4 linked regions of the Drosophila melanogaster genome follow. The protein of the gene in region 1 interacts with the protein of each later gene in a pairwise test. Each region holds a gene or a part of one and is shown in the gene's direction. Other genes may lie near its edges. The genes, in order: dati, CG6576, CG14210 and GABPI.

Region 1 (6,549 bases):
AGTGGTATACCGGAATTTTCTTTGCCGTGGTTTAAAATGCTGGGTGGGAGGACTTTACTTAATGAGTAAACAGGGATAATCTTGTTGTTGCGTACTGTTTATAATAATACAAATATTTAAACTATGGGCTTGATTGATATTTGGAGCTTTTCAGAGTATATGTGTAAGAAATGTTTATCTTTCAAGTTATTTCTGTATTCAATTACAACCAACTTTTCTACTGATTTTACACACCGTCCGGTGAAGGGGAATTCTTTTTTTATTTATATAATATATTATTTCATATTATTTTCTAAAAAATTTCAAATTGACTAACCGCCTTCGTGTTCTATTGATGCGACGTCACTACCACAGCTTGAACCGCCTTTCAGACTAGCATTTATAAGCAGAACGACAGAAAAGCGGGCTTCTTGATCGATTTGGATGGACATTTTGTCTGCTTGATTAGTGAATGGATATTTCGTTTTAACGATTGCAAGAGATTTAAAACCATTCGGATCTATATTTGTACCATATACATGTATAAGCCCTAATTGGCATACGTACATAGGCAAGAATAGAGATGGGAAGGATGCGCGCAATGTGAATATGCTTATTAATTTATAAGTATTATTCGTGCAGGCTCGCCACAGTCATGGAGTGGAAGTGCTGCCTTATGACCGTTCGCCCACAAATACCGAACCCGCACCAATTATGAGTTTACCATGCATGTGCACACAAAACACACACTCAACATGCAACACATACATATGCTAAAGTGCATTTGGTACACTCAGTATACAGTTTCTAAAGTAAAGATACATAGGCCTGCATTATATTATACCCTAAAAACTTTTGGCTCGAGACCGCTACTTTTATTAAGATAACTTAGTACTGCTAAGTTAGACTATGCCAAGAAAGAAAAGTATTAGTGGTCCGAAGGTCGGCTTATCTCTTTTGCATTGCACTGCTGGACATCTTGAAAAACTAGCCATCATTTTTATATTTGCTTGAGAGTTAGGATGCTAAAAGGAAAGCTAAAAGTGTTTCCGTACTATCAGGACAGTTTGAGGTAAGCGTGACCGGGTTTGACGTGCGTAATTGAGCCAACCTAACAACACGTTTTCTGAGCACAAGTTCTCAGCTTAACCAATTGAGTCAAGTGAGTTTGAACATTTGGTATGCTCGGTCTGTCCTTGTATTTAGCTGTACACTGTAAGCCCATTTTTAAGACCGCGGGACCCTAGGTTTTGCCTAAAGCTCATGCGTAGCTGTCGACCGATTGAACCTTAGATTATGTAGATATGTATGCGGATTGACTAGTTGTATTTAGACTGACTTGATAGAATTTCGGGTTTATGATCTCTTTTATGAGATGATGTGAATGCGACTTCATGGTAGCCTTGTCTACTATCTCACCAAAAGGCGTCAAAGTCCTCTTCGATCACTATCCAAGATAGCAGCCAAATACCAAAAGATACTATGTACTATACTATAAGGTATTTATCAATCATGTACGACTGCTGTAAAATATATCTATGGGAATAGCACATAATTTTCAACAAAAAAATAGTGGGTTTCCTGTAATTTTTTTTTACTGAGCATGTGTATACTTTTAAAACAATATTCAAATTTGCAAGAAGATATTTATGTACATACATATACCCTAGGTATCCGCTTTTTTCCACGCCACGAATTGTTGCGAATGCATGCATGTATGTGTGTACATAAATAAATATAATATTAAAGAAAATCGATAGAGGTCGATTCCCACAGACCAAAGCACAGACCAAAATCGATTGAGCAGCAGAGGTGGCGGCTAACGTTACCTAAATATGTACATATGTATATGCTGCAGCATACACGGCTGCACATTCATTTTGAAAAGGTAGGGTTCAATAGTGTTTTCCGGATGCCTATGTGCTTTGCGAGCCGCCCACTTGATTGTGTACGTGTTTGTACATAAGAACTTCACATAAGCATTAAAATGCATACTGCCGCACCGTGACGAAGACCAGAAATGCAGCCATATCGCACATACATGCACAAGTGCAGCGCAAAACTCGAGCTAGACAGAAACAGTTGGCTGGCTGTCCGGCGGCGGAAGGGAGATGGCTGAACGTGGACAGAAACAGGAGCTGGGCAGGGGTAGTAACAGGGCCAGGAGGTGCCAGAGAGGCCTTGAAGTAGACATTAAATCATGCACAAATTTGCATTCCACCGACCAGAACGGACTGTGCTGTGGTTGCAGCAAGACAGCAGGGAGGAGGTCGGTTTGCTGGGTGGTTGCAGTGGTCATCACGCTGCAACGCTGCCATAAGGGATGTTACTGCGGAAGTGCAGCGCTGACGGGACCCGACGACCAACGACGAGTGCAACAGCCCCCCTCCGCCTGCTTGTTTGAGAGTTATCAGTTGGAGAGGGCGGCGTAGGGGATGATGCAACGAAAACGCATATGAAAGCGGCATGGGCCAGACATACATATATGTTGTACACTGTACGCACACAGACTCACGTGGAGTGAATGGGCGCTGGGCAACAATAGCATGCAGCTTAATACACTTGAAAAAAAGACCAGAAAGCCATATCCCGCGCCTTAGACGGAGAAGGGAACGGGCAGGGCTAGACAGAGACTAGAGGCCTCATCAGGTCATCCCTACAAGGTGTAATTGAGGAGCAATAAGAATATCAATAAGCTCTCCGAGCTTAAGAATTGTAATTCAGGAATTGGTGCTTTATTGAAATTTTTTTATTCAATTTTTTTTTGAGTGTAGAGCTGCAACTGCAAATGCTGAAACAACTGCCACTGCAACTGCAGTTACCAACAGCGCCGGCGCTGGCACAGGTTCCCTGTCCGAGTGCAAGGATCTGAATCCACATCCGCCGCTTTCGCTGTTGTTGTCGCTCCCGCTGCTGTCACTTTTTGTTTAACACACAATTTTTATCTTATAATAAGCACACCGCTGCTGCCAGCTATTTCCCCAATTCGGCACCCGGCTGTCTCCATCCCAGTCTCCAGCTTGGGAAGCAACGTATGCCGAGGCGATGATTTTTATTCTCAATTATTTTGGATGCGGCATTCAGAAACGCAATATTCCATGGAGTAGAACAACCGACTGCGGATCGTCCTGACCTCGCGGATCATTTTTATTTTATCAAATGTGCTTAAACCAGATATAAAATGATTGTGGACTGTGCTAAAAACTAAAAACTAACCAAATAATAGAGTTGTTTGATAAAAAAAAAAAAACAAAGCACAAATGAATTGCTTGGCAATGCTTACTTGGACGATTTCATTTGTGTTTTACTGAATTCAGATGAAAATATGAAAACAATATTTCTTTTAATTTAATTTCAGATCATCATAATTTTAACAAACACAATAGACCAAAAATCGTTTTTAACAATAAAGAAGAATCCGTAACTAAACGATCAAATCGACAAACCTAACTCAACCCAGCCATCTTTCAGTTTTAAACGCAATAGAACAGATGCATTAATTAACTAAGTTTTCTACACCTATTACCAAAAAGGAAGAACCACATCAACATTAACTTCATCACCAATCCGAAAAATAACATCTAAACCAATATAACCTAACATAAAAACAGACCAACGAGAAAACCCATTTAAAAATTACTTTTTAGACAAATGAAAAATATAATTTACAACAAAATTGAAATCAAAAGTACAAAACGACATTAATGAATGCGCAAAAGAATTATAAATTTAATACAATATAAAACTGTATGTTTTAGTAACGATTACGTGAAGATTTAAGTCCAAACTAGGCTACTAATCGAAAATATGATTACGTGAAGATTTAAGTCCAAACTAGGCTACTAATCGAAAATATGATTTATATGATTTACACAAATGTGTACATAACCATATAGTCATTTAAATTGCATATATAGTCTCTTAATACTAATTTAAACAGTATATAATAAAACATTTAGATTTTCTACAGCTACAAAATACACTCCCTGAATGATTACCGAAGACACACTGACACCGGAACAGACAGTTTGAACTATCACATACCCTACAGCTAGCCCTAGCATAACCATACGTAACTATACACCAAGTCGCTTATTATTTTTTAATGATAAGAGCAATACTCAAAAAATAATAGTATAGATACATGATTAAGCGTGAAGAGATAGTGGTTATTATAGTAAACAGTACGTAAAATAGTATATAAAATTAAAGATATTGCTACTATAAATAATCAAAATATCATTCTTCGGTAATATAATGGACGATATTTTAAACTAAATATTCGTTTAAGTTACAAATGTGAACCTCGAATTATTTTAAAATTGGAATATATCATATTATATTTTTATATGTATATTAAATTATGAGACGTCACAATGCGTACATATGTAGGTATTTCCGAACAATACAAATCTGGGCATCAAAATAGTAGATCGTATCGGGTAACAAATTGTGATTCAAACGTTTACAAAATTTTTAAATTTATATGTAAACAAATTCAAATAGAAACTGCATCAATCTAACTCCATGTTTTGGGATAAATAGGCGATAAATGAATTTTATAACCAATATATCGCGACACCGTAACGTGTGCCTTATTCCGGCCTTAAGTTTAAATGACTTTTAATAATACATCAAAAACCTAATTCAAGTATATATTAAGCCCACGGACATTCAACTGCAAAGCCGTCGCACGTAAAAAGTCAATAGGATATAGGATTTTCTAATATAGGACCATTACCTGATTGGTATGCCGCCCATCACCTGCGACGTAACCGTCATCGTACTGTAATCGCCTGAGAATATGTTTGTTTTCAAGGTAATTATTGATCCTAACTTCCATGTTAATATCGAATCCCTACAGTCACAATGGCGATCATACCTTATATACACACATATATAAACATATGCGTGCATATATATACATACGTGTAACAAGAACAAAGTTTCCGTTTTCCGGCTTGACCGTTATTCCGAGGTGGCACGATTTGGCAACTAAGAGCCATTCCAAAGAGAGCATTATTATCCGCTGAGCAAAGATGCTGTTTCTTGGTAAACCCGAAGACGGGACGAAGATATTTTGCCGAAGGCCTTAGAGCTGAGTCCTGAAACGAAGACGTTTGGCTTACTTTGCGCCAGCGACGATGGCGACAGCGATGACTCGACTTCAGGCCGACTCCACTTTGCGTGCAAGTTCTATTTCTAAACGAGACGTGTCTGAACCCCCAGCAACAGTCATATTTATACTTGTCCGAGGCGGCGGCCAAATTAGTTTTTCTATGACTCGCGGGCCGCCAGGTTATCTGTAGTTGTTTGCTGGGAGCGACTTCCAAGTCTCAGCCGTAATCGTAACCGTAATCGAGGCCGTGCATATAGACAGTCACTGTATTCTTCCAACAAAAAAAACCTCGTAAAGAGGTAAAAGCAACCGAAATACGCACCAAACCACCAATTATACAAATGGCAGCAAGATAACATTTCGCTCCTTTTCGAACACTTGCATACGCGACACATTGCTTATTATTGGTTTTATTCACAAATTTTGGTTTTTTTATGCTTTGAACTTTAGTTTCTTTTCTTTAAAAAGTGATTAAAACAGTTTGGTGACTATGTTCCATCCCCAATAATAACAAACAATTTATAAGTGTCCATGTGCGACGCTAGGATATTCAAGAATAAGTTTCCTAATTGACCTGTGTGTTTTATTTATTTCGACGCAACTACGTCTACGAGGAAATATATTAATTTTTCAAAACCGATGCCAACATATATGTGGCTTGGTAACTTAAGTCGTCCAGAAACTGGCTTATACAAGAAACCGTATTCTTATATATTAAGGCTCTACCTTCGATTGCTTTTAAATCAAATTGTCTATAAATTGAATCAGAAACGTTAAATTCTGGGACAAAAGCAATTTTGGTAGACTGACTTTTTTAAACAGAATGACCGATATATTAGCTATGGTGTTTATATATATATTTTAAATATATATCTTAAGAGACGTATGCGTATCTCACGTTTTTAATATATACAAAATACGGAAGTAATTTAATAATTCTTAATTTGATTTATTAATCGAAAGAATACGTGTAAAAAAAAGTTAGATCATTATACACTTTTTTACTTCATGGTTTTACTTCCATGGTTTGGCTTAAAAAAAAAGCACTCCAATTTTATATCCATTATTTTAGAGGAAATCATCCTGAGGCACTAGAGAAATGTTGTTATTTCTTAATGATTTAATTGATAGGTATACTGCTTCAAAAAAGCTAAAGAAATTTTTGGAGAAAGCCTTCCGGATGTAACTGGCGCCAAAGCAGTCTTTTCTTGTCCGAAAACTTTAAACAACATTTTCTTAAAAACCACGATTTTCAAAATTATGTAAGTTATAATAAACAATCTAGTAAGCCAATTTTCATCATCTAGCATTCATTTTAAAGAGCATAAACATTTTTCAAAAAAATTTTTGTCAGTAATTGGCAGGGTTACTTTTGGAATTTTGCAAACATTTCTGCTCATTGACAATAAAAAACCCGAGTAAGAAAAGAAAAAAAGTTTGTTGAATTCAGA
Region 2 (4,953 bases), on another chromosome or scaffold:
ATTTGTTTCTCGATTGCAATTTACGAATGCGATCGCCGACTGAGGAGAGCCGGCAGAATCTCCGAGAGCTTCATCTCCGATCGAATCTCTCGCTTGCCGAAAATACACGCATACTCAAAGCGAGAGCGCCGGAGATTTTCCTCCACTCAGCTTTTCACGCAATTCGGTGCGAGGGAAAATCTCGGCACAAAAATATTTTCACTGCGGCCAGACAGTTTTCCTTTGACAACGCGCCGAGTCGCACATGATTTTCCTCTCGGCCGGATTCGCTGTGGTCCAACAAAAAGAACCGAGAACTAAAAACAAAAATCGCGACACAATCTTTCAGCGAGTGTGTGAATGTTGCTAAATTTATAAATAACAGCTTAAGTTGTGCTGCTCCCAAAGTAAATTGAAATAAAAGCAAAAGTGATACGCGTCCGTCGTCGTGAAACGGAAAACGCAGGCGATGGAAAATGGGAAAATAGGAAAAAATAAGAAAAATAAGAAAAATATCAACGCATAAATAAAGCGCGAGCCTCGCGTCCGATTCTGTCGCATTCGCCGGCTGCATTCCCAAATAGATCGGGGCGCTATAGTCTATATCTGCTCGTATGCCCTATAGGCATCGACAGTATATATCCCAAACCTGCCCGGTGCGTGCCGGTGGATTATGTAAAGTGACACACGGCCGATCCCGATACCGATCTCGGAGTATCGCCCAGCGCAAATAAAAGCAAAGGAAATAATAGTTTACTTAGCAGAAAAGAAATAAATACAATAAAATAAAATTGAATAAAATAGGGGAATGCAGAGAGAGTGTCGTAGAAATTTGTCGCACGCGCGCGATTTCAGTAAGTGCATCTAATTTATTTTGCATCTATTGCAATTGAGAGTCGGCATCCGGCAGATACGTTTTCGTAATTGTCGTCAGCGGTTCGAGTTCCTCCGTTTCGATCTCGCGCGAGTGTTTGCCAGATTGGATTACCAAACCCAGGCCATACCAAAATAAATTATACACCAATTTTGAAAGGGCGATAAACATACATTGTGACCGAATTTTGATCCGATCTGCGATCGAGGATCGCTTGCCAAGAGCAACGTAATGTCGTCCTACCGCAGTTATGTAAGTACTAGTTAATGCAGCGCCAACTATCCGTATCTGTATCTGCATAATACCTACTCGTACTATATAGTGTGTATCTCGATCTTTGTATCTTCGCTCTGTGCCTTTTTGCAATTCTTCGCATCCACGGATTTTGTTTATTTCTAATTTGTTGCCTTACCCCACACACAAGAGTATTTCGCAGATACATACGTATACGTTTTATATGGCAGATAAAATGTATCTGAATGTTCGCTCTCGATGTGGTGTGGGCTCCAGATCCATTGATAAACAATTTAGATACAAATTTGCTCATTGTCTGGTTTTTTGGTTGGGATTTGTGTCTAGTTGATTGTTCTAATTTCCTATCCACACAAATAGCACAAATTATGGCCGAGGTGTGGCTACTGAATGAACGAATTGTTGTGTTTGAATAGCAAACCAATGCATGAATAAATGGCTTTTACTTTGGCAAAGCAGGTTAAGTTCCGAATTTTAAACCTATTTAACTTGATTTATGTTAGTATTTGCGTATATGCACAGTTGTCAAAGGAATTAATTTTGAGTTATTTGACATACTTTATGGCAGATTCATTATTGATACTGACCAATGACTGACAGTTCCCAAGTAAACATTTTGTGTTATTTATTGAACTTATCATCATATTTATTTATATTATTAACCCGTTCGACATCATGTGATACTTGTGAACTTTTATATAAAAAGTGCATTATTTCTATATCTATCCTATAATATAAATACACTTAATTTCGGTTGTCATTCCCAAACTTCCAAATCGCTTTCTACTAATCCCCTTTATGTTCAACTCATTATATCCTTTTGTTCCCAGGCATCCAGTTTATGACTTTAGCCTGACTTTTGACTCATTGAGCATAAATCAATTAAATATTTTTCGGGTCTTAGAATCTAATAAACTGATCAATTTATGGGCGGCAAACAACAAGTTTCCACCCCATCCCACGCACATCTACCACTTCATCTTCTCCCGAGTCATTTCTCCAATTATATATAGAATGTTTCTAAAAATGTTGGGAGTAAAGCAAAATGATTTCTGTTTCGTTCACGTTGACGCAGTCTCTTTTTTCCTCATTGGAGTTGGTACTTTGTGTAGGATTTTTATGGCCAGAAGGAAGTTGTAAATATTTATGACAAGCATAAAGTTGAAAGTTCTCCGGTGAGAGCACGCACCACCTAATTAATTAACAAAGTGTGAATACTCATGCAATTTGTTTGTGAGGGGAGAAAGTAGGGGAACGGTAATGGAGAAACAATAAAGTTGCAAATATAACTAAAGCTTTTAACTTCATATTCAAAAAAAATAAGTATATATTATCATATAACTAAATTTATATTCATAATGTATTAGCGAAAGCGGTAATGATTAAACATTGTTTCGATTATTGATTTCATTAGAAATATCTCTACTCGTCACACACAATGCGATCACAATCAGTTTTCATTTGAATTATTCATCAAAACAGATCAAAATTTGTTGTAGTGTAGCACAAAGGAAGGCGGTGATAGGCGCTTCTCAAATAGGCTTCGAGATAAGGATTTATGAATCAAGCTATCTGAGTCCGAGATTATCCACGCACACTCACCCGTCCACCCAACTGCCACCCAAGCCCCCCACAACACTCGAACACAGACACAAGTCAAGGACATTTTTTGATAAAAAGATAAAAAATGACACGGCGTCGACGTCCACGATGTAAGGTGAATCCCTCGATAGCGCTGAGAAAGAAGAAACAGGAGACTGCACCCAGTGCAGAAAAGGTAGAGCCACAACGTCCACCGCCCTTGCCGGATCCGCCCAGCGAAGAGCCACCGGAAGTCGTCAGCACTTCGAGCGTAGAATCTGAAATCGAATCGGATTACAAACTCTTCCCGGAACTCTACGATCGCCAGCCGTCGATGCCCACGTTTGCTGATCTTTTTGGTCAGCCCTCTTATGAATCAGTGTTGCAGGAGCCCGAGGTGGCATCTACCTCCTCCTCAACGAACACAAATGCCGCGGGAATACGTAGTACAGACGATGGGAAATTCACTAATATTCCGGCCACGATGCTGTCAGATCAATTTGGGATCATTGGGCTGCTGGCCGCCATGAGGACTACGCAAACGGATCCGGGCGCCACGCAGCTGGTCTTTGGTGAGGATCTAACCACCTACGGACTAGATTTGGCTGCCCAGGGAGACATTTATGTGCATTTCAATGGGCCTCTAACCCGCGAACCACCTGACAGAAATTCCATGGACTGCGCCCTTGAGATGGGAATGCGTGCCATGCGTGATTCGATTATCAATGAACCACCGAAGGCTCCGTGTTGGGATCCATTTGAGCCAGAGACCCAAGATCTGGGACTTGTGGGCAGTCTTGAACCGGATGAGTTTACGAAATCCGATCCAGATACGGAAACGGATCCACCGCCAACTACTGATTTGACTGAAGATCCGGAAACGGATCGAGATGATAATCAGTATAGATAACACATTTGGAATCGGCGCCAAGGATAAAAAAGAAAGACTAGTCCCAAATAGAATAGCAATTTGGCAGTTGGTTAGATCTTTGAATACTTGGTAAAATTGTTGATCTTCGTGAATTGGTAGCCCTTCTGTATAAGAACTTGTTTGGCTTTAAATATAGAATTGGCTGAGGAGTAAAAACGGGAATAATTATTTGTTACGAAAAAAAGTGCGATTTAGTTATTTAAAATAAGGTTCGATTTAGTACATATATGTAAATATCGAAAAAAATTAATAAACATTCGGAAAATATCGAAAATGAATAAGCTCGGAATTGATTATAACTCATAAATTGGTTATAATCACTATAATTTTCAGATTAACTAATTTAATTTGTTTGGAAATTTATGTTTGAACGACTTTCTGGGGTTGAATATTTCATTATCCTTTTAAGCGCCGATCTCCACATAGTTGAGTTTCCCGAAACGCATTTTCGACACTTTCGTCAGAGCAAACTACAATAGAAAACGTATTTAAAAATAAATCATTTGTCTGGCAAGCGAATATTCAGTCGCCACTTCGAATCATCTGGGGTCACAGTCTAAATACTTTGTGAGTGGATGGCTTTCCTGGTCGTTCTTAATGGGCTGTGGCTACTGACAGACAGGCGCATTATAGCGCATCCTGCTCCTGATCTGCAGACTCCGAGATTCTGCAATCTCCTAATTGAGACCGCATAATAATGCTGTCAGAAGTGCAGCACTCCGCTGGAATCGGCGGTGAACAAAGTACACATGGCGAAGTCATTCCAGAGAAGATCCATAGGCCCATCCACATCCACACCATCACGATCCTCCACTCTTTTTCTCCTCCGGCTGAGTGTCTCCGTTTGCTTGTTTTGCACATTGTTGGCTATTTGTGTGTTTGGCATTCCATTTCACTGAGCGAAAACAATTAGCCGAGACTGTCTGTCTTTCTTTCTTCCTCACTCCCTCTCGCTCGCTCGCCAATTCTTCACATTGGGCGGGCGCCTGGAAATGTAATAATATTATTTTTTATTCCCGGATAGTTGTCATTCGCCGGGATGGGAGCCACTTGGGAAGAGCCCCCTATTTGAAGTGATTTACATCGAGAAATTCCTGAAAAGTATTTTCATGGGCGAATTCCACTACAGTCATGGTAGTTCATATAGGGCTAAGCTAAGTGGGATTCGATTAAGTTTCATCAATGAATACACAATAATTTATAATTTAGTTTAGCACATTTGCTGTAAGTATTGGGTTCAACAGCATTTTATCTCGTCATTAAATGTAATTTGCAATAATTAACCCAAAACGTTTGAGTTTGCCAAAAATCTGAAAACTGGCAACACGAATTTTGC
Region 3 (4,761 bases), on another chromosome or scaffold:
ACAAGAACGATTTTCGATAGCACCGCGATAGCATTTCCGTTCCGACTTCACTGTCGATAGCGCCCAGCGGCAACAGCTGATCGTCGTGGAATGGAATGGAAATGGTACAACTCGGATGAGCACTGAGCACGGTGTTTTCTTTTGGGATCCGTAAATTATTTCACAATGATCGGAGAGCTTGACTAATAGCACAGCTCTGAACATCGTCAACAAACACGCCGTAGCACACGATTCGCCTTCTCATCTCATCTCACATCACCGTTTGCCGCCACCAGCTTACCGGCGCTCCCAGTGAAGCAACCGCCAATCGCGTGGAAGAGGAGCAAGTGCATCTGTCATGGCTACGAGGGAGGCCTGCGGCCAGTTTGCTGCTGCCAGTGCGGCAATGGCGGCTGCTTCCAGTCAAAATCCGTCGAAGGCCACGATGACGGACCCCCGTTTTCGGATCCGACCCCTGCAGCAAGTGGCATCCGCCTGTACCGGCGCCATGGTGACGGCCTGCTTTAGTATGTTGCCCGCCACACAGCGTCGAATGGCGTAGTGTCAGTGCTTGACTGATAGGTTTACCATTGCAGTGACCCCTCTGGATGTGATCAAGACCCGCTTGCAGGCACAGCAGCAGGCGCTGCTCTCAAACAAGTGTTTCCTCTACTGCAACGGCCTCATGGACCACATCTGCCCCTGCGGCCCGGACACGCCCAACCCAGCAGCCGCCAAGCCCGCTCCCCGTTTTTCTGGCACCATTGTAAGTGGTAAGCGTTGGGAAAACCGGGACACTTAATACTTAACCCAGCCTCTCTCCAGGACGCATTCATCAAAATCAGCCGCACTGAGGGCATCGGCTCCCTGTGGTCGGGGCTCAGCCCAACGCTAATCTCGGCCCTGCCCTCGACCATCATATACTTCGTGGCTTATGAGCAGTTCAAGGCCCGTTTCACCGATATCCACTACAAATACACGCGACGCCCGGATACCATTGCCCACGACATTCCACACCCGATTCCATTTCTGGTGCCGCTGCTGGCCGGCGTGTCGGGCCGCATTCTGGCCGTAACCTGTGTAAGTCCCGTCGAGCTAATCCGCACCAAGATGCAATCGCAGCGCATGACGCACGCCGAGATGTTTGGCACCATTCGCCAAGTGGTGCAGTCGCAGGGCGTGCTGGGCTTGTGGCGCGGTCTGCCGCCAACCATCCTGCGCGACGTGCCCTTCTCCGGCATCTACTGGACCTGCTACGAGTACCTCAAGAGCTCCTTTGGCGTTGTGGAGCCAACGTTTAGCTTCAGCTTTGCGGCGGGAGCGATATCCGGATCGGTAAGACTAAGACAACTGCGCTACAAATCAATTGTGTCGACTGTCGGTAACCCCTCATGTTTCCCCTTCCAGGTGGCCGCCACCATCACCACGCCCTTCGATGTGGTGAAAACGCACGAGCAGATCGAATTCGGCGAGAAGTTCATATTCTCAGGTAGGCCCAATGTGGTTCAGCTTGCTGCAACCAACTCCCGTAGCAGCATTGACAATGGTTCGGTTTGCATTACGGCAGATAATCCACCCAAGCAAGTGGCCACCAAGTCGGTGGCGATGCGCCTGGCCAGCATTTACCGCATGGGCGGTGTGCCCGCCATTTTCTCTGGACTGGGGCCCCGACTCTTCAAGGTAGCGCCCGCATGTGCGATAATGATTTCGTCCTTCGAGTACGGCAAGTCATTCTTCTATCACTACAACATCGACCAGCACAATCGGAGCAATCAGGCGACAAAGGGGCCCGGCTCCTGAACGCGCTCCCAATGCGGTGACCACAGCATGTCGACGTGAATCTTTGTACATATGTAGATTAATGCCAAAGTTGCCAGGAAATCGGTGGGCAGGTGGGAAATCGTCTGCTGCTGGGTTTGGCGAGCCCCATTCGAAATTGTTAAATTGTAGTGAAATAAAATTCTTGTTTTTCTTGGTTCGAAAACAAACATGAGCTTACTTATCAACTTTGCTTTTGAGCTTCGAATTCTAATAATCTGTATTTGATTTCAACAAATTTACGACGCACATTAAACAATATTGTGTACTTTGTTCCTAGTTTAACGAAATATTTAATTTTTGCTATTGGAAAATCAAAACGATGTTGTTACAATAAAATCGCAAAATAAGCAATGTAACTGTTTGTTGGAGAAAATAATAATTCCTATTAAAACCGAAATAGGGAACATGTGAAAAGATAATACTATCTATAAGTTTACACATTTCGTTTCTGTGTATGCCGTAGAATTTACCTTCGACTCACAAGATAAGATGTAGTTTTACACATCTTTATAGTCAAGTGGCAAGGGTAGATAGGTTGGGGTAAGGACGATTAGAGTGTTAAACAAATGTTTTCCTAGTCATAGAAAATACATATATTTGAAATCATAAAAGACGAGCTTTTATCTTCGGTTAGCAACACTCGTGTGCACCAAAGCATTTGAAACGTTTATGAAATGGCGCCCAATGACTTGTAATCGAAAGCAACACCCCGATCACCGATGGCTTTCACAAACATATGTTGCGTGCTATCGATAGACGGTGGAAACAACACGTGCACTCGTGTTTTGTATTTGTGTTGTTTGCATTTGATTTCATATTAGACTAAACCGAACGCAAAATGAGTGAATCCGCACCGGAAACTGTGCCAGCCAAGAAGCCGGCAAAGGCCAAGAAGGCGGCAAAGCCGGAGAACAGCATACCACGCGGCCAGCCCAAGTCGAACCGGCCGTGGAAGACGCCCAAGCAGAAGTAAGTGGTGTTTCTCCATTGTGCATTGTGCATTGTCATCTAATCAATTGGCTTCGCCTGCAGATTTAGCAAGATTAAGAAGACCGTTAACCGACTGTCCTTCGAAAAGAAGACGGCCCTGCGCGACGAGCTGCGCTACATCAAGGAGCGCTCCAAGGAGATCAAGGACAAGCGCAAGGAGGATGCCGTCCAAAAGCACCAGCGCCGCGTGGAGAATGCCGAGCGCCGGCTGGCGAACGAGCGCCGCTCGGAGGTCGTCCAGGTCATCAAGAATCCCGCCAAGCTGAAGCGCATGAAGAAGAAACAGATGCGCATGATCGAGAAGCGGGACGTCAGCCAGGTGAAGGTGGTCTGAGGTGGCTCCATTAGATTAACTTGTATTTTTTGATAAATAAATCTAGTTTTAATGCCAAGAAAGCGTTTTGTAACACATATGTATGTATGTATTTAGGTCGCTACGTACACAATTGTGTGGCATACAAACGAATTTAGCTTATCTTAGCCTAGTTTAACAAATTTACATAGTAATCCAAGGCGTCGCCCTCAACATCGCCGTCTATCTGTTTGCCGCCGATCTCTGTGCGGAATTTGGTCAATATATCCTTGCGCCTACTGTTCAGTGTTTGGCCCGCCAAGCGCTTGTCCTCCCCTTGTCTCAGTCCATCGAGCAACGCCCCAATGCGCGTCCGCAGGAGCAAATCCAGGCGGTGCACCAGAGACTGATCTTGTCGTAGTCCTCTTGCTACCGCCGGTGGCAAGTCCAACGTCGTCTCCATTGCGGGCAAATCGAGCAGAGATGCAATAAAAGCAAGCAACGCAGATCCCGTGGTATCCATATCGAGGCCATTAAGTGTGAGACTGTTGCGTTCCCAGGCTTCCGAAGTGTCTGGCACCTCTAGACGCTCGTTCATCTGCCGCACCACGTCCACCGGCACTCGAGTGGCATCGCTCCTAAGTGAGTTTGCCTGCAGACAGGAGTCCAGCGAACTGGCCATGTATATCTGTCCGAAGATGCAGCCAGAGTCTCGACACAGCTGGTAGAGCTTGTAGCGCATGCTGCGGTAATAGAAGTTATCGTCGCACAGGATCAGATGCCTTCCGCTGTTGTAGTCGCCGCTGGAGGAAATGCGGCGGACTTGAGGCGGCCAATCGGTGTCTTCTTGAATGGCGGAAATGAGTTTTTCAATTACTTTAAAAATGCGGCCGCGCTGCTCCTTGTAGGCCAGGTCGGCCGAGGGGGTAGCGTCGAGGAAGTCGTCGTAGCACAGATGAACGATGTGGCGGACGCGGAGGGCAGCCTGTTGACCCAGCAGCCAGGAGCACAGCGAGGATTTGCCGGCTGCTGGCAGGCCGATAAGTGCAACAAGACAAATGCGCCGCATCGCGTGTGGTTGGTTGGTTCGTTTTTTTTTTTTTTTTGTTTTGGGGTTGTTTGTAGGAAGAGTACGTGTGGTCGCCGACTGCGGGTGTGGAGGGCGGTCTGGACTCTGCGATTAGCTATCTAGGATCGAGAACAGCAGCTGCGGCGTTGCATGCCACTGCTGCTACATGGACAGATTGCCGGCGACAGGCGGCTGGACAGGTGTAAGTACTGCCGTGGCGGCCGCCTCTTTCAGTCGCTCCTTCTCTTGCTCCCTCTGCTGCTGCTCGGCCTTGCGGGCGTTCTCCTCCATTTCCTCCATGCGCTTGGCGTTGATTGTGGTCTGCACATCCACGTAAACTTTCATCATATTCTGGTTGAAGCGCGCGAACTTGGTAACGCACCTGTCCACACAGAGGTCCTGTCGTGTGAAGCGGCATTTAGTGACGAATACCTCCGTGGATTCCCCAGCCTTATACATACCTCATGGCCGCCCAGGTCGCGCTGGCTGAGATTATCCACGCATCGGCTGAAACACAGTTCCGTCACTTTGTTGTATAATGTGAAAAAGTCTTTGAGCTGAAAGGCGTGGCCAGTGAGTAAGGTTCAGCGGGAGTTCAGCACACTCTTTT
Region 4 (5,722 bases), on another chromosome or scaffold:
TCAGTTGAACCAGTAGTTTGGGATCTCTCGCTGTGACATCGTGCATCTCCACTACGTCAGGTCGAGAGACCAGTTGTTTCAGTTCTGCCACACTCAAACGGGTCAGTTTCTTAAGTTTCCGCTTGGACAGCTTCTCCTTGTCTTCCTTGCGCTCTTCGTCATCATCGCCGTCATCGTCCTCGTCCTCGAGCTGTTTGTCTGTAGCCTTTTTGTCCCTGGGATGGGACTCAGAATCGTGCGAAGATTTGTCCTTCTCCACAGGCTTTGGTTTGTTTTCCAGCTTGAAGATTTCGAACACACGATAAAACTGGCGGTACATTGGCGCCAAATCGGCAATGGTTATCTTTTCGGGCACATATCTGAAAGGGATAAGAGTTTATTAGTGTGGTTCCTCGGAACGAGCTGCTATGACTTACTCAATGGTCACATTTTCATCATTGGCCTCGCCAGCCTTTTTGTCCGTATCTTTCTCATCACTACGATCCTTCCTGCGCTTGCTGCGACTCTCTTTGCGTTTGTCCTTCTTTTCCTTTTCGGCAACCTGTTCGTCCTCGCTGCCATGGGCTTTTGTCTCCGAGTCCTTGGCCTCCGGTTCGTTCTCCTCCGCTTGGGCCAACTGCTGCTGCCGTGCGAACTCAATCTGGTGGCGTATCTTCCTGTTCTGCTTCTTTCGCTTCTTCTTCTTTTTGTTACGCTCCGCCTTGCTCTGCTTGCCGGTCTTTTGGCTGGCACTCCCGTTCACCTGGTTATCCGCATCCTCCTCGCTGTCCTCGCCCACATCCGCTTCGTCGCCGTCCTGGGTAGCACCCCCACTGCCACCCTGCGAATCGGCGTCCACCGTGAACTCGGCTGCCCTTTGATCCTTCAAAGCCAGAACGTCCTCCAAGGCCTTGGGCAGGACCAGTTCTCCGGGCGTTTTTTCGGCATCAACAGCATCTTCGGAGGCATCGCCGTCGCCATTGGCATTACCATTGCCGTTCTCATTTCCATTGGCCGCCGCACTTTCGTGCTGCTGCTGGTCGAAGCGAATGGACATGAGCGGCGTGGGTTGGCCGGGCTGGAAGGATTGGCATTCAATAGATGTCTTGCCGATTGGGTTTCGCAGCAAACTCACCTCGTTGTTCAACTGGTCCGCCATAAATTAAATTAATCTTTAAAAACCCAAACCGAGCCGAAATTTTTTTATAAACCACAATTCTAGTGATGCGCGACAAGATATTTTTGTACCACCGAGACATATCGATATATTCGATATGAAAATGCGAGACCCTAAATCAAGCTGGCAACGCAAAGGACAGGGCGATCTTAGTACGAAAAGCGTGGTTTTTGCCGACAGCTGATTTAAGGAGGTAAATATTAAAATATTTCATAGATTACCAGTTTAACAATGCTAATTTGTCCATTTCAGTACGATATTTAACAAGCAGTATCTGCTAAAATCAAAACAGTTCAACACCCTACCTTCTAAGCATGTTCAAATTTAATTTTGATGTGAAGGCGGAATCCTCGGAAGATCCAGAGGCCGTTAAAAATGATATTTTTAGCAAGCAGGAAAATTCAGAAGAACGTGAGTCGGGTATCACAAAGGATATAGATTGGTACAATTCGGAGAAAGTACAACCACTGGATAACCTAATTTCGGCAATGGATTTCTATGAGCTTAACGCCAAGGAAATGGAGGTGGGAAAGATGACGATAAAACATCTTGTGGCCGGGTTTCTGCTGGAGGATTTAAAGGAGCAATCCCACTTGGTAAACCTGGATCTCAGGAAGTCTGAGGAAAATCATTCAGATCTGATTTCCGGTGTCTACGAGGGCGGTGCTAAAATATGGGAATGCACTGAAGATCTTCTACTATATCTATCCGAAAAGTACGAGGACTCATTCTGGAAGGAGAAAAGAGTCCTAGATTTGGGATGTGGCTGCGGATTGCTGGGTATATATGCTATGAAACACGGCGCACGGGTGGATTTTCAGGACTACGTAAGCAAACAATAAGTCTTGAAATAGTTTGGTTGCAATCATATATTTTCAGAACAAAGATGTGCTGGAATACATAACATATCCAAATATCCTGCTAAATTTGGACGACTCTTTATCTGAAGATGAAAAGCTGAAATTTTTAGACAACAGTACAACCTTATATTCTGGAGATTGGTCTCATTTTGCTGAACTATCAAGGGATGTGGCGAAATACGATCTAATACTTACCTCTGAGACTATATACAATATTGCAAATCAGCAAAAGCTCTTGGATACCTTTGCTGGTCGCTTAAAATCCGATGGAGTCATTTTGGTTGCCGCAAAATCTCATTATTTTGGAGTTGGTGGCGGCCTGGAACAGTTTTCAGAGAACATTAGGCTGGGAAATGTTTTCCAAAGTGAGAGTGTTTGGCAGGCAGACGAAAACTTAAAAAGAGGAATCTTGCAATTGAAATTTAAATAAAATATATTTTGGAATTATTTATAACACAATTCTTAAACTTTGTAATAATGATAAGAGATCTAAGTTCAAAACATAGCGGTAGCATAAAACAAGTTGGCAGCCCACTTTACACGGGGCACCCTGTAAGGGAGGGACGTTCGTCAGCTGTGTTGTTGTAGTTGTCGTTATTCCGGAGAAATTGTAAGCAAATTCGTTGTACTCCAATAAAACAATTAAAATGGACCCACCCGGATCTGATAATTACTTTTGAAACATTTCTCCACTCGGCCAGTAGGGCGTGCACTAATCTAATCTAAACTGTTTCCGTACACGCTGCTCGGAACTCATTAAAAAACGTTCGCCGCGCCATTTCCTGTCCAAATCGATGTTCTTGATGACAGCCGGCACCTCCAATTTTCTTTCTGCAGCCTGGAGATCAGAGGCTGAGGAGTCCAAGAGTAAGGAGAACGGGAGTCTCTGCTGCTGCGAGTACGTGGCTGAGGACAGTCGAGAGCGATCCCACATCCTAGGATGCTGTTGTAACTGCGTGGACTTCGACTTAGTTTGCACAAGGTAGGATACATAAATGAAAGGCCGTCTACAATTAAAATTAAATTTACCACAGACTTGTCACCTGCCGAGCCATTGATCGAAGGAACATCGACGGCATGCTCATCGCCTTCCAGGATAGACTGCGCTTGCCATGGCGCGGAGGAGCCAAGCGAATCTCGCCCGCAGCCGTTGCTCCCGCCTTCATTGTCCCCCTCATGCTGGGATTGGCCACTCTGAACTCAAAGACCGCCATAGTGCTGATGCTCACGCTGGTGGGCTTCACCATCTGGGGCATGGAGCTGGCTAAGCGGACCGCCACGCGGACAAACTTCTTTTTGAGCTGGCTGGTCTTCTCGGTGTTCTACATGATCATCATATTTGAGTTTCAGGTTCCTCTGCTGGAGCTGGCTCCGGAGGAGAACTACGCGTTAATGTTCTTCTCCTGTGCCGCTTTGTACTGCCTCTATTCCGCCAAGGCACTGTCGCCCTTGAATCTTGTTTCTGCTCAATACGGAACCACGCCCAAGGATGAGCTGCCTGGGATCGCCGAGGCTTCGAGTGGCGAGGAGCAGGCAGAGGCCCAGACCACACTCCAGATGGAGAGTGTGCTGAGTTTGGATGATGACGAGGTGGGGGATATGGACACTGCTGAGCGATCTGGCTTGATGCACGGTCAGCCCAATATCTGCGAGATCTGCCGGAAGGTTACTCCAAGGCGGGCATACCACTGTCCCGTCTGCGGAACCTGCGTGAAGAGGCGCGATCATCACAGCTACTGGCTAAACTGCTGCATTGGCGAGCGGAACTACGTGTGGTACATTGTTGGACTGGCCCTGTCGGAGATCGCTCTGCTGCTCGGCGCAAACTTGACCCTCACTTCCATTTGCCATCCGTTTATGGTGGTGCGACCGCTTGGTTATCCAGTTCTTTTGCCCGACGACTGCAGTGAGGTGTTCGAAGGCTTCGAGTGAGTAGATACTTTGTTTCTATTTCCAATTAACGTTTCTTATGCACACTCTGTTTCTAGCCTCGGAATCTCCTTTGTGGTGGCTTGCTACGCTCTGCTCATTTCTTCCTACATAGCCTTTATACTCGCTAGACAGGCTTACTTGTGGTGGAAGGGATCCACCTTGCACGAATACAAGCGCACCTCCAACGCCGCAGGACGCAACAGAATCTGGAGCAACTGGCGAGCCATCTTAAAGTGACTACTCACACACCAAAAAGCAAAAAGCACAAGCATGTCGCTTAGATACTAAAGTATTTCAAATCTTAACGCTGTTCTCGGTAGTCGTACTTAGTCGTACCGCTTTGAAGTCTTTATTGCAATTTAAAATTGATTTAAAATAAATATAATTAAGTAACTCAAAACGCACAACGAACAAGAGTAATAATGTTCTATCTAGTAGCTACCACAAGCTGTCCTCTCTCGGTTTGTAGTCAGGCAAGAGCTCCCATATTTTCATGCGCCACCGCTGGCGTCGCTCCTCCGTTTCCTTCTCGATCTTCAGGATTTGCGGCAAGCGTCGCCAGCAGTCCAGGACCTTCCATTTCAGGTGCCTATTAAATTGGTTCAATTGAAAATGATACATAATACAGTGAATTCTATTTTACAGGGACCTACCACTCATGGTGCGAGATGGCCTGCCGAGTCTTGCTGTCTTCAATCATCCGGCAGTGCGTGGAATACTTGTGCCACCGCGCAAACCAGTGTTCCATGGAGCGCAGTGCATGCCAATCGATCGCCACTAGCATCTTGCTCTTTTCATTCTGCACATACAAAATCCACGCATACAGAGCGCGCCGCTTGAGGATGTTGTGCCAACAGATCTCCGCCTTGATGATCTTCTCGCGCTGTCTGTATGTCGAATAGCTGTGCCACGAACTGAAGGAGTTCTTTGTGATCAACTGCCATTGGAATATGGAAGGATGTTAGTGAGGAAAAGCTACACCCATATGAAAGCTTACCCGGCAACGGAATTCCTCGCTCTTAACAAGATTCTCACGTTTCCGCTCCAGCAGTCGTTTGAAGCCTTCCATGCCCGTCCGTTTTAAAAGTTTGCGACTGAACTCCACGGCCTTCCGCTGGTTCTCAATAAAACGTTGACGCTCGCGCTCCTTTAGCACCTTTGCCATTTTCTCCTGGCGACGCTTCTCTTTAAGGACCTCCATTCTGAGCCGTTTGGCTTCCTCGTCCTCCTGGCGCTGTTTACAAGTTCAGGTAGATTAAAGCTTTAAATGAATGTAGTAACAAACCTTAGCCTCCTCTAGAGCTAGCTTGGCTGCCTCCCTTTCGGCTTCTGCCTGAGCCCTCCGCTGACGAGCCTGCTCATGACGCATGCTCCGCTCTGTGGCCCGCTCCTGCATGTGCTGCAGAAACCGTGGCTGGAGCAGGGCTTTGCCCTGCAGCCGGTCCATCTCCTCGTCATCCGCATCGCGCAGGTTGCCGATCAGCTGCAAGCACTTCGCCTTGGCTTTCGCCTTAGGATCCCCGCACCGGATGACCGTTTTGAGTTCCTGTTTCAGATCCTCGCGGGCCTCCTTGGCCTCGTCACTGAGCTTAGACAGCTTAAGCTGCATAATAAGTCGCTCTTGGCGCTCCAGCTTGATGCGCTGTAAGTCAATGATGTCCTGCTGCACTTTGAGTCTGGAAGAAAGAAAACAGTATTAGAAACATTTGTCATCTGTGTCTAGCTGAGACCTACTTGTTCTTAAACTGCTTGGCCATTTTGACGGCCTCCTCGC

Evidence for each region.
Region 2: the proteins of dati (region 1) and CG6576 interact in a two-hybrid assay, tested with the Drosophila melanogaster proteins (one large-scale study listed by BioGRID).
Region 3: the proteins of dati (region 1) and CG14210 interact in a two-hybrid assay, tested with the Drosophila melanogaster proteins (one large-scale study listed by BioGRID).
Region 4: the proteins of dati (region 1) and GABPI interact in a two-hybrid assay, tested with the Drosophila melanogaster proteins (one large-scale study listed by BioGRID).

Annotation. Positions count from the first base shown.
Region 1 is NC_004353.4:392,111-398,659, reverse strand, and holds the start of dati (datilografo), read left to right. Parts: upstream 1-3,054; 5' UTR 3,055-4,798; intron 4,799-5,249; exon of another isoform or gene 5,250-5,397; intron 5,398-6,549.
Region 2 is NT_037436.4:8,753,391-8,758,343, forward strand, and holds CG6576 (uncharacterized protein), read left to right. Parts: upstream 1-2,598; 5' UTR 2,599-2,792; coding exon 2,793-3,596; 3' UTR 3,597-3,777; downstream 3,778-4,953. Other genes in the region: Fhos (formin homology 2 domain containing), read left to right, coding at 1,085-1,105.
Region 3 is NC_004354.4:19,613,638-19,618,398, forward strand, and holds CG14210 (uncharacterized protein), read left to right. Parts: upstream 1-2,558; 5' UTR 2,559-2,638; coding exon 2,639-2,769; intron 2,770-2,832; coding exon 2,833-3,124; 3' UTR 3,125-3,188; downstream 3,189-4,761. Other genes in the region: tyler, read left to right, coding at 276-295; shawn, read left to right, coding at 338-506, 576-745, 805-1,314, 1,387-1,468, 1,547-1,779; Pstk (phosphoseryl tRNA kinase), read right to left, coding at 3,273-4,151; Tim9b (translocase of inner membrane 9b), read right to left, coding at 4,314-4,550, 4,613-4,708.
Region 4 is NT_033779.5:3,027,950-3,033,671, forward strand, and holds GABPI (beta4GalNAcTB pilot), read left to right. Parts: upstream 1-2,589; 5' UTR 2,590-2,810; coding exon 2,811-2,998; exon of another isoform or gene 2,999-3,050; coding exon 3,051-3,944; intron 3,945-4,004; coding exon 4,005-4,185; 3' UTR 4,186-4,351; downstream 4,352-5,722. Other genes in the region: Sf3b2 (splicing factor 3b subunit 2), read right to left, coding at 1-359, 417-1,057, 1,115-1,138; CG17219 (uncharacterized protein), read left to right, coding at 1,471-1,983, 2,036-2,446; CG17258 (uncharacterized protein), read right to left, coding at 4,387-4,537, 4,602-4,885, 4,946-5,182, 5,234-5,624, 5,683-5,722.